Linked DNA regions of Ovis aries. The protein of the gene in region 2 binds, or shares a complex with, the protein of the main gene of each other region. Links are inferred from orthologs where the notes say so. Each region holds a gene or a part of one and is shown on either strand. Other genes may lie near its edges.

What was found. The genes of interacting proteins can lie anywhere in the genome.
Region 1: SART1 (region 2) and PPIH share a complex: the UniProt entries of both Homo sapiens proteins name them as parts of the U4/U6-U5 tri-snRNP complex. The link is inferred for Ovis aries from reciprocal best matches to the Homo sapiens genes SART1 and PPIH.

What each region holds. Positions count from the first base shown.
Region 1 is NC_056054.1:17,161,147-17,165,578, forward strand, and holds the start of PPIH (peptidyl-prolyl cis-trans isomerase H), read left to right. Parts: upstream 1-1,517; 5' UTR 1,518-1,541; coding exon 1,542-1,607; exon of another isoform or gene 1,608-1,942; coding exon 1,943-2,007; intron 2,008-2,298; coding exon 2,299-2,322; exon of another isoform or gene 2,323-2,416; coding exon of another isoform or gene 2,417-2,439; intron 2,440-2,594; coding exon 2,595-2,639; intron 2,640-2,890; coding exon 2,891-2,933; intron 2,934-4,432. UniProt on the Homo sapiens protein: PPIase that catalyzes the cis-trans isomerization of proline imidic peptide bonds in oligopeptides and may therefore assist protein folding. Participates in pre-mRNA splicing.
Region 2 is NC_056074.1:40,509,016-40,511,486, forward strand, and holds the end of SART1 (U4/U6.U5 tri-snRNP-associated protein 1), read left to right. Parts: intron 1-212; coding exon 213-300; intron 301-773; coding exon 774-864; intron 865-939; coding exon 940-1,075; intron 1,076-1,451; coding exon 1,452-1,541; intron 1,542-1,643; coding exon 1,644-1,765; intron 1,766-1,856; coding exon 1,857-1,875; 3' UTR 1,876-1,940; downstream 1,941-2,471. UniProt on the Homo sapiens protein: Plays a role in mRNA splicing as a component of the U4/U6-U5 tri-snRNP, one of the building blocks of the spliceosome. May also bind to DNA.

The sequences.
Region 1 (4,432 bases), on a different chromosome or scaffold from region 2:
ATCCCATGAGGAGGGACTAAGGCTCTGTTTTATCATTGAAATACAATTTTTTTAAATTTAATTGTAGTTGATTAACAATGTTGTTAGTTTCAGGTGTACAACAAAGTGAACTAAATTTTATTTATTTATTGCTGTGCAGCAGACAGGATCTTAGTTCCCTGACCAGAGAGCAAACCCATGTGTGCTGGAAGCATAGTCTTAACCACTGACCCACCAGGGAAGTCCCTGAACTATCATTCTGTGACTGCTTTTCCTTTGTTTTTGCATTCCCTCATTAGGAACTATTTGGATCTGCTCTTTGGAACAAGATCCAGGAGGGTCAAGTCTTTCTACAAACAAGGAATCAGGTACATAAGCAAGGGTTTTATACACAGCAGTGTCCTGCCAAGGGCCGGCTGTCTCAATGCCTTTTTCTTTGGTACTCAACAACCTTGAGGGAAACAGGTGGACAAGAAAGGGAACGTTATAGATAGGTTATTCCTAAGCTTTGCAAAGGCACCCGGTTTTTACGAAGGACCCAGCTTCATTTTCATGGAGTTAAACAAGTGTGAAGCAGCTGGTGAGGTGGGGAAACCATATAATTTTGGATGGTGAATGGCATGAAGAAAATCAGTAATCTATCCAAAAGAGTGACAGAGGGCTACTTTAGATTGGGTGCAATGTTCCTGACTAATGACCTGAGATGAGACTTGACCTACAAGACCACTCCGCACCCTCATGAAGATTTAGAAGAATATTAAAGTCAGTTAACAGGCCCTAAATAGAATCCGAGTCTCCGTGACCTAGAGGAACAGGCTAGAGTCCCAGGTAGGTGGCCAGATAATGTAATGTAGGTCTTTTATGTAGCAACTGGATTTTATTCTAAATAAGGGAATCCGGGAGTGATTTATAAGCAGATTCATTTAAAAGCTCTAGCTGCTCTGCAGTAAGTGACTTGGAGATGATGAAAGCGGAAGCTTGTGGGAGAACTGGAATTAAAGTCTAGTGCCTGACTTCATGAAAGTGCTGAATATACTGAACAAGCCTTATATGCCAGGCTGTTCAAAGCGCTGAGGATAAACACGGTTTTTGCTTCCGGGCCTCCAGACTAGTGAAAAGGGGTAAGAGGCCGCACATATGATGGTTCAGACGGTCTTGGCTGCAAAGGCTGATCAGACCCTGAAGACTGCCTAGTCCAAGCCCCGTAGCCTGAGCGAGAATCATCCGTACTGCACTTACTGTATCCAAGTGAATGAGAGGCCCGTGGGCCTCGAGCGAAAAAAAAGCCGAGGATGTCCTCCGGCCTCAGCGCTCAAGGAGACTCAGGTGAGGTAACAACTTGCGACTCGTCAAAACGGAAGGAAGCCCCGGCCACCCACGCAGCGCGCAGCTTGGCATCGAAGGCAGAGAGCTTCCGGGGGCGGGGCCGACCGCCTCCCACCGCACCGCCCCCCCCCCCGGCTCTTCCTGCGCCTGCGCCGGAAATAAACACCTCCCGGCGGAGCAAGATCATAGGATCGCCGGAACCCCGCGCTCCCGACTTCTGCTTCCGGGTCAGAGGCATGGCGGTGGCAAATTCAAGCCCTGTCAATCCCGTGGTATTCTTTGATGTCAGCATTGGCGGCCAGGTGAGGTCTTGGCAGCCAGCCAGCCCGATGCCAAAGGGAACGTGCACGCGGTCTGGCAGGCAGATCACCTCCTCAGGTGTAGCAAACTCGGGAAGCCAAAAAGTGAAATTGAACCAGAACCTACCGACCTGCGGGGCGGGGGTGAGGGAGTAGGAAGAGGAGGAGTCTTGCGCATCCTAGCGCCCGGCTGGTGGAGGGACCGGGTGGAACGGAAGAGTAGGCTACGGAGGCGGAGGTGGGAGAGACCAAGCGGCATGGGGGCCCGAGGGTTCCCTGTTCGGTGAGGCCTTCACGGGCTTGGACTGGGCTTTCTGAACGTCTCTCGCCGGTTGCAGGAGGTTGGTCGTATGAAGATTGAGCTCTTTGCAGACGTTGTGCCTAAGACGGCGGAGAATTTTAGGTAAGATGATGTTCTTTGCTGGATAAACCAAACGAGAAGCTGGGCCTGTCTGTGGAATCTTCTGCCTACCTCTATCCGTTCATTCACCGTCCTTGAGATCTGACTTCTCTGGGTATCTCTCTGAATAGTCTTGACCGTCCCCTTTTCAGTTTATGTTAATCTGTATGCCTGGACGTCTGACCAGCCAGTTGGTGGGCTAGCTAGCGCCGACGTTCCCCTTCCCGCTGAGGTTAGGGACGCTCAGAGTTGTGATGCCATGGCGACTGAATCGTTCACTCTTTTCCTTTTCAGGCAGTTCTGCACAGGAGAATTCAGGTCAGTCTCTGACGTGGTTGACTTCTCTGCTTGCTCCTGAGGGCTGTCCTGAGGCTGCAGTTGAGGGTATTGGGGAATCACCGGCAGGCCTTGTATGACTGGTGACAGTAATAGAAGGTATTACTATGGGTCTGTCCTCAGTTCATTTGCCTTCTTCGTCTCTCTTCTCCCGACCATCTTTAGAAGGGTGTCTCTGGCTCGACTGTATGGTAAACGTGAAAGGCCTATGTTTACCTGTTTACCATTTCAAGTCTCTTTCTTTTTGCTTATAGAAAAGATGGGGTTCCGATAGGATACAAGGGGAGCACCTTCCACAGGTAAGGCCTTTGGCAAGCCATCCTGGGGGACTTTTAAAATTACTATTAGTATGGTTTAGAATTACTTCCTTGGGGGATTAGTCTCTTCAGAGGAAAACAAAACCATAGCATAATTCTTAGTTCTTGAGAAGGGATGCTTTTGTGAACTCAACCATTGATTTGAGGACTGAAGTGATAAACATTATATTTTGAAATTAATGTTATTCCAAACCACACAATCTTCTCCCAGCATCCTTTGTTCTCTGTTTCAGGGTCATAAAAGATTTCATGATTCAGGGTGGAGATTTTGTTAATGTAAGTACTGTTCCTTTCCTATTAAGGGCCTATAAGTTTTGTTTTTGTTGGTTGTTGTTATTGAAGCTGCTCCTCGGGGAACTGAGAACAGTAGCCAAGTTTGCTGGGGGAGGAGGTGGGAATGGGAATATCCTGTGATGGCTGCTACTCGCTGCATCACTAGATAACATATTAGCACTTTGATTGAGTCACTCACTCCAAATCTCAGTCTTTTAGGGCTGGGAACTGACTTTCCCAGCATACCTATAGGTGATCCATGACAGACCCAAATTAACTGGGCACATGGAATTTAGCTAGAAATCAGTTACAGTTAACTTTCTCTAAATGGGGGCAAGTCCCTTTCCAGTGAGTTAAATGCTTATGCCCTGATTTCCCATTCACTTCTGGTATCCCAGTGCCTCGGAAGGTGAGTTGTTATTTTTTTAATCAAGTTCATTAGTGGGCAAGAAATCAGAGAGTTCTGGAAGGATATTTTCCCTATTCACTAGGAGAACCCATTGAATTAATCCTTCATTGCTAAGCATGATTTTTCTTGCCACTGTATGCATCCCCATTTCAAGCTTCCCAACCTTGCAGGGTTCTGAATAAACCACATTTATGCTTTCTTAAACCTACGTTTGTCCATACCCACCCATTTCTGTGCATGATCTTTCTTATTAATATCATTTGGTTAGTCATGTTGCTGTTTTCTTGGATCTGGGAGACATTCTTTATCCTTTACATGTATATTTAGTTTGACTGTTAGGAGTTTTTTTAAGATTTCTATCTTTCCTACCCAGATAAGTTTACAAAGTGGCAGATTTGGGGCTGAATCCGAAACAGATATGCTTTGTATCATCTGTATGATGTTGTAAAACTGGGAAATTTTCCGGAAAGTTCTGGAGTTTTGTTTTCTCTGTTACAACTGAAAAGTAGGGGTGCACTTGGCCTGTGTTTCTCATGTAGCAACATTTGGTTGAGTCAAGTAACAGCTCCCTTTAGACAGGTATGTCCTTATTATTTCACCACAGTTCCCACCACTGGCTTCCCTTCTTTACGTCACATACTCCTATAGGCATTTAAGTTTGCAACCCCTGGCCACGACTGATTAGAGTAGGGCTTGGGGTGACCATATCCTTTTTTATTGGCAAGTAAGAAGGGCTAAGATGCTATTCTCTGTGTTCTTTCTTCCAAAGGCTTCTATACTGCTATATTGTCTTAGCAGGGATAGGACTAACTTCTTATGGGTCATTGCTAGGCACATGTGATCACTTGCTAATTGCTCTAGAGTTAGCAGTTAGTCAGCCAGAAGGCTGTCAGGGAGAAGAAATTACTCAGAGCCACCCTTAGGGCAGAAAAAATAGAATGAGCAAGACGTAGAAGCAGAATTTGAGACCTTCTAAAGTTGGACTAAGAATATTTGCTTGTTTGTTTGTTTTAATAATGTGTTTTAAAAATTTAAAAGATAATGTATTTTTTCTGGTTGCAAAACAAAAGTACAACAATGAAAATAAATCGTC
Region 2 (2,471 bases):
CCTCCCCACCGTGGGGCCGCCGTGTCTCAGAGCCCTGGGCTCCTCCTGCGTAAATGGGGTATACAGACCTGGTGGGGTGTTGTGGGTTAAATGAGGCGTCTTGTCGCGCAGGGCCTGGTACACAGCAAGGACCACAGTCCTGGGAGGGGTGGCTGTCGGGCAGGAGGGTAGCCCACTCAGCACCCCCATCATTGTGTGCTCCGCCCCCCCAGTTCTCTGCCTCCTCCACCACCATCCTGGACGAGGAGCCCATCGTGAATAGAGGGCTGGCGGCCGCCCTGCTCCTGTGTCAGAACAAAGGTAAGAACATCTCAGGCTGCCCTGCGATGGCCTGGGTGCCGCCACGGAAGGCGGGCCAGGCAGCTGCTGCCCTCCGGCCCCCTGCTCCCTTCCTCCCCGCCGCCCCCGGGCCCGGCAGTTGCGGTAGCCGCTGGCCTTTGTGCGCTGCTTCCCCCATGCTCAGTGCCTGTGCCCACACGTGCCCCAGCAGGCACCACTGCCCCTGGAGGCTCGGCCTCTCCTCTGCAGGGAGCGGGAGGAGTGGCCGCAATCCAGGCGGTGGCAGAGACCTTGGCGTTAGGATCGTCTCTGCTGTGTACTGAGCCGGTGGCCCTGGACATGTGCCTGACTTCTCTTGGGTCTCCGTTTCCTTTGTCTGCACGAGGGGACTGATGTCTCTCCCTTCCCACAGCACAGCTTGGAGGGTCCCTCAGGGGCCACCATGCTGTTGGGAGTGCTGGGCAGTCTGGGCTCTCACAGATTCCACCCCCCAGGGCTGCTGGAGACGACGGTGCAGAAGGTGGCCCGGGTGAAGGCGCCCAACAAGTCCCTGCCGTCGGCCGTGTACTGCATCGAGGATAAGATGTGAGTGCGGGCGCGGGGGCCGCGCCCTGGGAGCCCGGTGCCGGGCAGTGCTGAGGCCCCGTGCGTCTCCCACAGGGCCATCGACGATAAGTACAGCCGGCGGGAGGAGTACCGCGGCTTCACCCAGGACTTCAAGGAGAAGGATGGCTATAAACCCGATGTGAAGATCGAGTACGTGGACGAGACGGGCCGGAAGCTCACACCCAAGGAGGTGAGCGGGGCCGCGCCCTGGAGTCTGGGCCAGGGGACTGTGGTGTCCATCGCTTGGGGGCACAGCGGTCCCCCCTTGCAGGCCTGGCAGGAGGGCGTCCTTGCCTGCCTGCCCTCTCCCCAGCGGCCCCCTGAGCTCTCGGCTGGTGGCAGCTGTCCGCCTTTCTCTCCTCACTTTCTTGGAGTCTGCTGCCCCCTTGCTCCAGCACATCCTTCCCTCTCTTCGGGGGCTCCCAGAGGGTGCCAGGGCCAGGGCCATCTCCCAGCCCCTTCCCAGGCTCACCGCCCCCACCTCGGCTCAGCCGGGGCTGGGGAGCCAGCGCCCTCCCTTGCCCCAAGGGCTCCGGCGGCTCTAACAGGGTTCTGCCCGGTCACAGGCTTTCCGGCAGCTGTCCCACCGCTTCCACGGGAAGGGCTCCGGCAAAATGAAGACGGAGCGGCGGATGAAGAAGCTGGACGAGGAGGCGGTGGGTGCCCACGGGGAGGTGGCAGTGGCCTCTGGGGGTGTGGGGTTGGCGGGGACTGAGGCGCTGGGGTGCTCCTGCCTTGCTGACTGGCCCGACCCACAGCTCCTGAAGAAGATGAGCTCCAGTGACACGCCCCTGGGCACCGTGGCTCTGCTGCAGGAGAAGCAGAAGGCCCAGAAGACCCCATACATCGTGCTCAGCGGCAGTGGCAAGAGCATGAACGCGTGAGTGGGGCGGTGTGCTGCCTGCGTGCATTGGGGAGCGGGGGCGGGGTCACAGCCGCTCTGCAGCCTCACGCTCCTCTTCTTTCCGCAGGAACACCATCACCAAGTGAAGCTGGCCTCCCTTCTGATCCCTCCCCCGACTTTAATATTAAATAAAGCTCCCTCCTTATTTTTTTCCCCCTGGTCCTGGTGCAGGTTCCAGGGTCAGACCTGGGAAAAGGGCAGGCGGTGCCAGACAGAGCATGGGGGACATTGCCCTCTGGCTCCGTCGTCACCTGTGTGACCTCAGGCAGTCACTGAACCTTTCTAAACGGCCTTAGTTCTGCCGTTTGTTTGACCAAAACACCTTGCTTCATAGGGTGTCTTGCGATGATTAAGTGAGCTCATTTCATTCACTCACCTGGAACGTGGAGGTGAGCAAGGCCCCTCAGAGGTGGCTTAGGGTCTGGCTTCTGCCAGGTGAGACCGGTTGTAGGTGACACAAACGACAGAGATGCAGGGAGGGAACTGGCCCGGCTCTGCTAAGGCAGTTCTCAGCCCACGCTGGGCCCCAGCCAGCCAAAGAGAAGCCAGCTGGTTCGCTTTCTCACCCTCGCCTCCCCCAGCCGCTCCTGGCATGGTCGTACCAGTCCTGGCTGTGCCTGTTAAATGTCGCACCTTACCCTCTCCAAGGCTGGCTTCTGGGTAAGAGTTGGGAGGTGTTTTA